Linked DNA regions of Lytechinus pictus. The protein of the gene in region 1 binds, or shares a complex with, the protein of each later gene. Links are inferred from orthologs where the notes say so. Each region holds a gene or a part of one and is shown on either strand. Other genes may lie near its edges. The genes, in order: RNA polymerase-associated protein RTF1 homolog and RNA polymerase II-associated factor 1 homolog.

Region 1 (3,923 bases):
TAAAGTAATACAAATGAAATACAATTTTACAGACGAGTATTCTTACTTCGTAAAAAAAAAAAAAACAGTATAATATTGAGCATAAATGGAAATGAGGGGGGTCCACTAAAAAGCAAAGCTTGTAAAGTGTGGATCCCCACGGAAATGAAGAAAATATAATCGACTTATTCATTTATGCGTTTATATACAGGAAAGAAAAAAGAGAAGGAACAAATAGGTCGAAATCATATTGATCTAAACATAATTACAGAACAAGTGCAAAGCTATTCACACAAAGAGGTCTTCGCTGCGAAGTGAAGTGTCTCGTGGGGTAGTTATGATAAAATTAATTTTTTGTGAACATATGGCATCAAAAATATGGGGAAGTGCATGAATAGATACCATGCGCGACTATAAAACACGTAAAAGGGGTGTCTTTTTCAAGATAGGGCACGTTACAAAGTTACGTAACGTAATAAGGGTGGCAAAAACACAAAAATAATTTTAAAAAAAACTGTTATATAAAGGATTTACTTTTTTCCCCAACCGCTACACTAGGCTAACGTTGTGTGTTTAGAGTACGATTGCGCGGTGTGTGGCGGTGTGTGGGAGGTGGGGTCATAAACCCAATGATGTAGGTAAAGGTAAAACCGACGTCATAATAATCAAAATATCGTTGTACTTGTTTGGGGGTTCAATTCAGGAAATACTTGCCAAGATATCGTTTTGTTTCCAATACTTGTTAAGGGTAGGGATTTACACGCCAAATTAAGGCCTGGTGCATTTTCAAAATAAGGCTTTTATTTCGAGACCCGGACATGGTGGCGCATGGTATCCATGCACTCGTCAATGGAAGCTAGTGCCCCCCCCCCCCCGGCACCAGATTGATATCCTGTTAGGCTAGGCCAGGTATAAACTTACAGGCCTTTTGAAAGCAGTTTATTTTAATTCATGCTATATGGACGGAGTGCCGCAGCAGGGATCGAGCCTGTATGAGCTGTGTTGCGTTGAGCCTTTTGTCGCTTTGCTGGCCGCAAGAGCCTATATCAATGAGTCGTGTTTCTTATGTACCAAAATTAATGTAAAGGTCACTATATTTTGCAAAGGGAATCTATTTTTCTTCGGTCGCTAAATGGCTCGTTTGTTAATTCAATGATAATCAAATCAGTGTCTTGTGCAGTCAAGTTCTTCCGGGCTTTATAATAGAAATAATTTATTTCATTTTTTTCCGCCCCCACCCCCTCCCCCAGCCGTTGTTGTAATCAAGTAGGCCCTATAGCCTTCTTTTGGTTTCTCATCACCACGGCATCGATTTCCTTATAGGCTTTATCTTCCATGTTAATAGACAACAAAAAAATCGGATATCAATGAGTGCATGATGGGGAAATAAAACTATGGCCTATATATATATATACTTCCAATTATCTTGGCCATTCGTGACTATAGTAAGGAATTAGTCATTTCACGTCAAGCCTTTATTTTTGGAGAAAAACAACACTTCTTTAATTCATAACGTTGACCAAGCGCGATTGCGTGTAATAAAAGACCTTCAGCCTTATGCTATATAGGAAAAAGTATTAATTTGCATTCATGGTGCAAACAGCGGGAGGGGGGTGATTTCTCGCCACCGCGCGCCCCCGCCCCTATAAGAAGATCGAGGTAATCAGGAGATTCTGTGGTTCCCGCAGGAGAGAAAAAATGAGGAGCAATAACTGATGGCGCATCGGACATTTTTTTAAAATCAAGAGCGAGAGAAGCGAGCAAACCATGAGAAAATATTTTTTTATGGTGACGTATAATGGCCTGGGCGTAATCTAAAAAAGTTGAAAAAAATGTTTCGCATTTTCTCTCTTTTTTTTCTTGGTCGCGGAACCCCACCCCACACCATCTAAAGATCTACGCCAGTGCTTTGGAATCACCCCCCCCCCCCCATTCTCAGTCAGCCGGAGTAATTATGCCAAATGTTCAGAATCACGATTTGCTTATATGAAAGTACCATACAATATTTGTCATTTATTTTCGTGTGCTTGTTTCGTGCGTGTGCACATTGGTTAGTAATGGTACCGTTTTAAAACTTATCAGCTAAAATCGCAACGATACGCGGCCATGTACGTCTAGCTAGCCTACATGATGTACGTACGTATTGCACGCGTGTGCGTGCGTTTAGCAAAAAAGTAAAACAAGAAAAAAAGGGAACTCATCTCAGTCGTGGTCTCTCTCTACAAAATGCCCTAAAAAGCAAGAACTTCATCGATTTGAGTCCCGATTCTACCCATTAAAGTGAAAGACCCAAGCGCCATGTCGAAACGTAAGAAACCAAGCAGAGCAGTGATAAATTCAGACAGTTCTGCATCGGAAAATGAATCGGATCTGGAAGAGGTAATTTCTCCATTCACTTTACACACAGACAGACATGACACTGACACAGATAGATAGTTGCACATTTATTTGCACTGCATGCAGTGCAGTATGCAGTGAGTGTGTGTTTCTGAGAATATTAAGTTTAGCTGAGACTGAGTAAGTGAGTGTTTGAATTTTGATGTCACTAAATTTCAGGAATATAGGAATGGAACTGCAAGAAAATTTGCTGACGGGTTGCTTCTGGCATTTTCTTAGCTTGTTTTGCACAGAAAACAATCGCAAAAACTTAAGTTAAATTCGTTGAGCAAAATCAGTTTGTCATCAGGCAGACATTGAAATAATTAATGGCATGGCATGGGCCATGACCCATCCATGACCATGCACATGTTGGTCGTAAATAATATGCAGTCTTTGGATTCTCTGCCAAGAGTGAGACTGAGAGTGAGAGTGAATGTTTGCACATTAATAATATTGCTTGATTTTTTTCTTCTTTGACGTAGGTCTATGATTAAGTAGACACGACGGCAATCAATTAAGGTGGCTGGTGGGGGCATCACCATCAGCAATTTTTTCTTGCAATTTCTAAAAAAAAAAACCTTTTTGTGTTAAAACTGTAATACAAATGAACTTTATGAAGCTACCTTGTTCATTCCCATGGTGATGGGTATTATTTGTAATATTACTGTCAGATAATATAGTTGTGATATATGTCTACACATATATGTGATATTATGCAGTGATGCAATCATCAGATTGCAAGATTTTTAATTGTAACCCAGTTAATAGCTAAAAATAATGCATGATTGGTGTATTTACCTAGCCTTGAGGACTCCATGATGATATTTAAAAATATTTTTACATAGATATACTTTTCATCACGAAGCCTTGAAACCCTCCCCCATACTTGCCTATTAAAGCGGCACATGTAAACACAGATGGATTTTTCCCTATATAGATAAATAAAATCCAACAAATTTACGTGATTTCTAGCTTTAAAGGTCAAGTCCACCTCAGAAAAATGTTGATTTGAATTGATAGAGAAAAATCAGACAAGCATAATGCTGAAAATTTCATCAAAATCGGATGTAAAATAAGAAAGTCATGACATTTTAAAGTTTCGGTTATTTTTCACTAAGTAGTTGCATGCACAATTTAGTCACATGCAAATGAGAGAATCGATGATGTCACTCACTATTTCTTTTGTTTTTTATTGTTTGAATTATACAATATTTCAAATTTACAGATTTGACAATAAGGACCAACTTGACTGAACCATAAAATGTTAGACAATGGTAATTCCACATTTCCAGGGAGAAATAAAACTTTGTTCCACAGGACAATGCGGAGAAAATTAGAATATTTTGTATTTCATGTCATGAAATACAAAAGAAATAGTGAGTGAGTGACGTCATCAGTTCCCTCATTTGCATACCAACCGGTATGTGCATATAACTGTTTTGTGAAATTAAGCGAAACTTAAAAATATCATAACTTTCTTATTTTACATCCGATTTTGATGAAATTGTCAGCGTTATGCTAGTTGGATTTTTCTCTTTTTATTCTATTCATTGTTTTGTTGGGGT
Region 2 (3,923 bases), about 3.1 Mb from region 1:
CATGAAAGATTCTTTTTATTTTTCAAGTCTTTCCCTCATCTTATTTTATTAACTCGTCTTCCTCCTCTTCTTTTTTCTCCTCTCTTTTCCCTCCCTTTTTTCTTTCTGTCCTTTTCTTCTTTTTTGCTCCGCCAATAGGGGGGGGGGGGGGGGGCGGGCCCCTCGGCCCCCCCCCCCCTGGATCCGCCTATGCGCTCTTTAATTTCAATCATCGGCAGCCCGGTCATGTTATTATTTTTTTTCTTGTCCCTTTTCTTTGTTTTCCATTAGCTTTTGACTAATAACATTACCTTCATTTCCCGCTATTGTTTGCCATTTTGTCATCTTTTAATTCATTGCCCACCGTGCTATTGCATTACATAGGCCTATTTCGGAATGATTTGTTCTTTCTCAAATGTTCTTCTTTGATTTTCTTTCGTACATTTTCCTGCTTTTTCTGATTTTCTTCGTTTTCTTTTCACTTTTCCCTTTCCCTTTCCTCCTTTCCTTTTCCCCTTTCCTTCCCCTTTTCCTTTCTTTCTTTCTCCCTCCTTTTTTTCTTTTTCCCGTTTTTCTTTTCTTTTCCCGGTGAAATCCGCCAGGGGGGGCAGCTTGCCCCCGCGGCCCCCCCGCCTGTTACGCCACTGTTTACGGAATGATTTTGTATTATACCTGTATTTTCTTAATTAGAATTTTTTCTTCCCTGAATTTCATATTATTTTGATCTGATCTGTTCCTTGATTATTATCTTTTAACAGTCTCGTCAGGATGTTTAATTTTGTTTGCAAAACACAAGAAAATGTGTAATTTGTCAAGGAGGGAGTAATTAATGCTTTTTTTTTTGCTTACTCGAGGACATCGCACAATCAGTGTATCGTTCAATTTTCATGTGCTATGTTTTTTTGTTTGCACCAACCCAAAATCTACTGTCGGTTTTCTTCCCTTTTATTGCTCATTAAATCGAAATGCCGCCGACAATACAGAGTGGAGAAAGAAAGGACAGAGATCGGAAGTATGTATATTAGTTATTTTTACTAATTGATTATGCAAAGTTACAAACCATGGCCAAGTATTCTGGCCTGCGCCAAGGCCCTCAAGTTTTGCTCAAATCGGCCAACGCAACGGCCACGCTATCGCGCCCGCGCCACGGCCTACCGTACAGCTAGTACAGGTACGTAGGTACCTACCGTATACCGTACGGCGGGCCGGATCCCAGGACTCGTCCGTGTAATCCATTGCTCCACACTAACCCTTTTTTTCTACTGGTCCAACCTATTCATGTCGGACCAGGGCAGTAGATACCCAGTTTTTCCATTATTTACTGGTCCCAAAAAATTAAAACATTAATTAAGAAAAGGTGCAAGTTTATTTTGCTGCCCTTTCCTGTTACTCCCCCCCCCAAAAAAAAAAATGAAGGAATGAAAGACAGAACAGAAACAAACAAGCAAAGAAAGAGAGAATAATTAAAAGAAAGGAAGAAAAAAAGAAAAGGTAAAGAAAGCGAAAGGATAGATGTGAAGAAAGGAAAGAACTAAAGACAGTAAAGGAAGGAAAGAAAGAGCAAAAATAAAGAAAGAACGAAAGAAAAAAGGAAGAAAGGAAAGAAATGAAGCAAGCAATAAAGAAAGAAAGAATAAAAGACAGAAAGTAATGAAGGAAAGAAGCAATACAAAAAGAAAGGGTAAAATGAGAGGAAGGAAGGAAAAATAAACGAAGGATTGAAAGAAGGAAGAAAGAAATTAAGGAAGAAATAAAGTAAAGGTAAAATGAGAGATAGGAAAAAAGAATGAAGGAAAAAAGGAAGCAAACAAGCAATATAAAAAAGGTAAAAAATAGATGAAAGGAAGAAAAAAAGACCAAAAGACAAAGAAAGGAAGGAATGAAGGAAAGAAGAAAGGAAGCAAGCAGTAAAAAAGAAAGAAAAGGTAAAAGGAAAGATGGAAAAAAGAAAGAAAGAACAAAAGACAAAGGATGGAATGAATGAAAGAGAGAGAAAGGGCTTAAAGAAGGAAGATATAAAGAACAAGAAAGGGTAAAGAAAGGATGGATGGAAGAAAGAGAGTAAAAAAGAATGAAGGAAAGAAAGGGTAAAAAGAAGGAAGGAAAGAAAGAAAGAAGATATAAATATAGGATGGATGGACTCAAGAATTAAAGAAAGAAAGAAATCAAAAAGAAAGAAAGAGAAAAATATTTTTTTAAAGGACAGAAAGAATGAAAGAACAAAAGACAAAGAAAAAAGGAAAATTAAAAAAGAAAGACATTAATAAAAAAATGAAAGAATAGAGGGAAGAAACGAAGAGAGATTGAAAAGAAAGGAGGAAAGAAAGATAGTAAGAAAACTGAGGAAGAAAGCTAAAACTATCATAAATAAATTATCACTTTCTTTTTTGCTCAATTAAAATATAGCTATGCCTATGACGGAAGAAACCGAGTGTATCAACACACACACAAATGCATATGTGGGGCTATCATGTATTCAGACGATATCACTCGAAACCCGATCTGTTTGAACTAAAACAGAAGTGAAAATTTCTCCTTTTACTGCTTACAAATGACAGAGTTACCCCAATTTTTAGGAAATATGGACATTATAAGAGCTTTTCATTAGTGTGAATGTGAATTTTGACAGTTCTGTGAGAGATTTCTGCCAGACGTTAGCCAAGCTTCATTCGTGCAGCCCAGTAGAAAATTTACCATGTGGGCTGTGTGGCTGGCTGTACATGTGCACTAAACTGTATAATACTAGATACTAGTCCCCTTGTAAAAATTGCATGCAATTCATTCTGTGTGTATATTGTGTGTGAATGACAGAAATTAACGGGAGGAAAATGGTTTGCAATTTGAGTCATGGAATATTTTTTATGTTAATGTTGGACCAGTGAATATGACCATTTCTGGAAAAGTTACTGGCTAAACAATGGTTTTTATTCCTGGTCATGTCGGAGCCATAAATCTTGCTTTTTTTTGAAAAATTACTGGCCCGACAATGAGTTTTTTACTGGTCATGTCGGACCAGTAAATCTGGCTATTTCTGAAAATCTACAGGCCCGACAGCGATTTTTACCAGTCTGGGACCGTCGGACAAGTGCTAGTGTCGAGCCCTGGTAATACGGACATTTAATAGACAGGAATAACCGTCGTTTCTGAGGATTTATTTAATAATTTCTGATAATGTTGTAAATCGGATAAAACATCAGATCAAAAATCGGATTGGCAGTTAAGCTTCGAAAATCGAATCGGCGATGTCTAAAAACAAAGGAAAACATCAAAATTTTATTTGCGGTCGCGCGCATATTCCTGACAAAGTCACAAAGACGAATGCATTGGAATGGAAGTCGCCAACATGCGCGATCGTTTGGAACATGTTTTAAAGGGGTTTTGAGGTGTTACTGCTATAAATAAACCAAGTGATTTTTATTCGAAAGTTAAACGAAAGACGCATCTTCCCAGCAAAGTTGCAAAGGAAAATAAAATGAAAATAATTATCATAGATCACAGGTTAATGAACGATCGGCGGGACATCTTTTATAAGTATATTTTTTAGGTGCTAGCGATTTAAAATTATTTGAAATGATCTCTTGATCTCGTACGACGCATCATCTTAAAGTCGCAAGTGCAATTAAAATGTAGAAGAATTCGCAAGCACGCGCGATGATTCGGAACATGTTGTTAAAATGTTTTGGGGAGCTAGCGTTTTCAAATCAATTTATTACTATCTTGAGAAATTAACTTTTGATATCCAAGAAGAAATATAAAAGAAGCATCTCCCGACGAAGTAATTGAGGATGAATAGAAGATGTCTATCATCATAAAGGAGGTAAGAGAGTAGCGCAGTGATGTCCATCAGTAATACGACCTGTGAAAGTTCACGGTGGCGTCCGCTATCACCACGAGGTTGAAGAGAAGATGTATATCATTATAAACGATGTAAGAGAGTAACGCAA

Evidence for each region.
Region 2: RNA polymerase-associated protein RTF1 homolog (region 1) and RNA polymerase II-associated factor 1 homolog share a complex: the UniProt entries of both Caenorhabditis elegans proteins name them as parts of the PAF1 complex. The link is inferred for Lytechinus pictus from reciprocal best matches to the Caenorhabditis elegans genes rtfo-1 and pafo-1.

Annotation. Positions count from the first base shown.
Region 1 is NC_087251.1:44,622,180-44,626,102, reverse strand, and holds the start of RNA polymerase-associated protein RTF1 homolog, read left to right. Parts: upstream 1-1,030; 5' UTR 1,031-2,277; coding exon 2,278-2,358; intron 2,359-3,923. UniProt on the Caenorhabditis elegans protein: Component of the PAF1 complex which is a multifunctional complex involved in transcription initiation via genetic interactions with TATA-binding proteins, elongation and transcription-coupled histone modification.
Region 2 is NC_087251.1:47,770,236-47,774,158, reverse strand, and holds the start of RNA polymerase II-associated factor 1 homolog, read left to right. Parts: upstream 1-822; 5' UTR 823-944; coding exon 945-991; intron 992-3,923. UniProt on the Caenorhabditis elegans protein: Component of the PAF1 complex which is a multifunctional complex involved in transcription initiation via genetic interactions with TATA-binding proteins, elongation and transcription-coupled histone modification.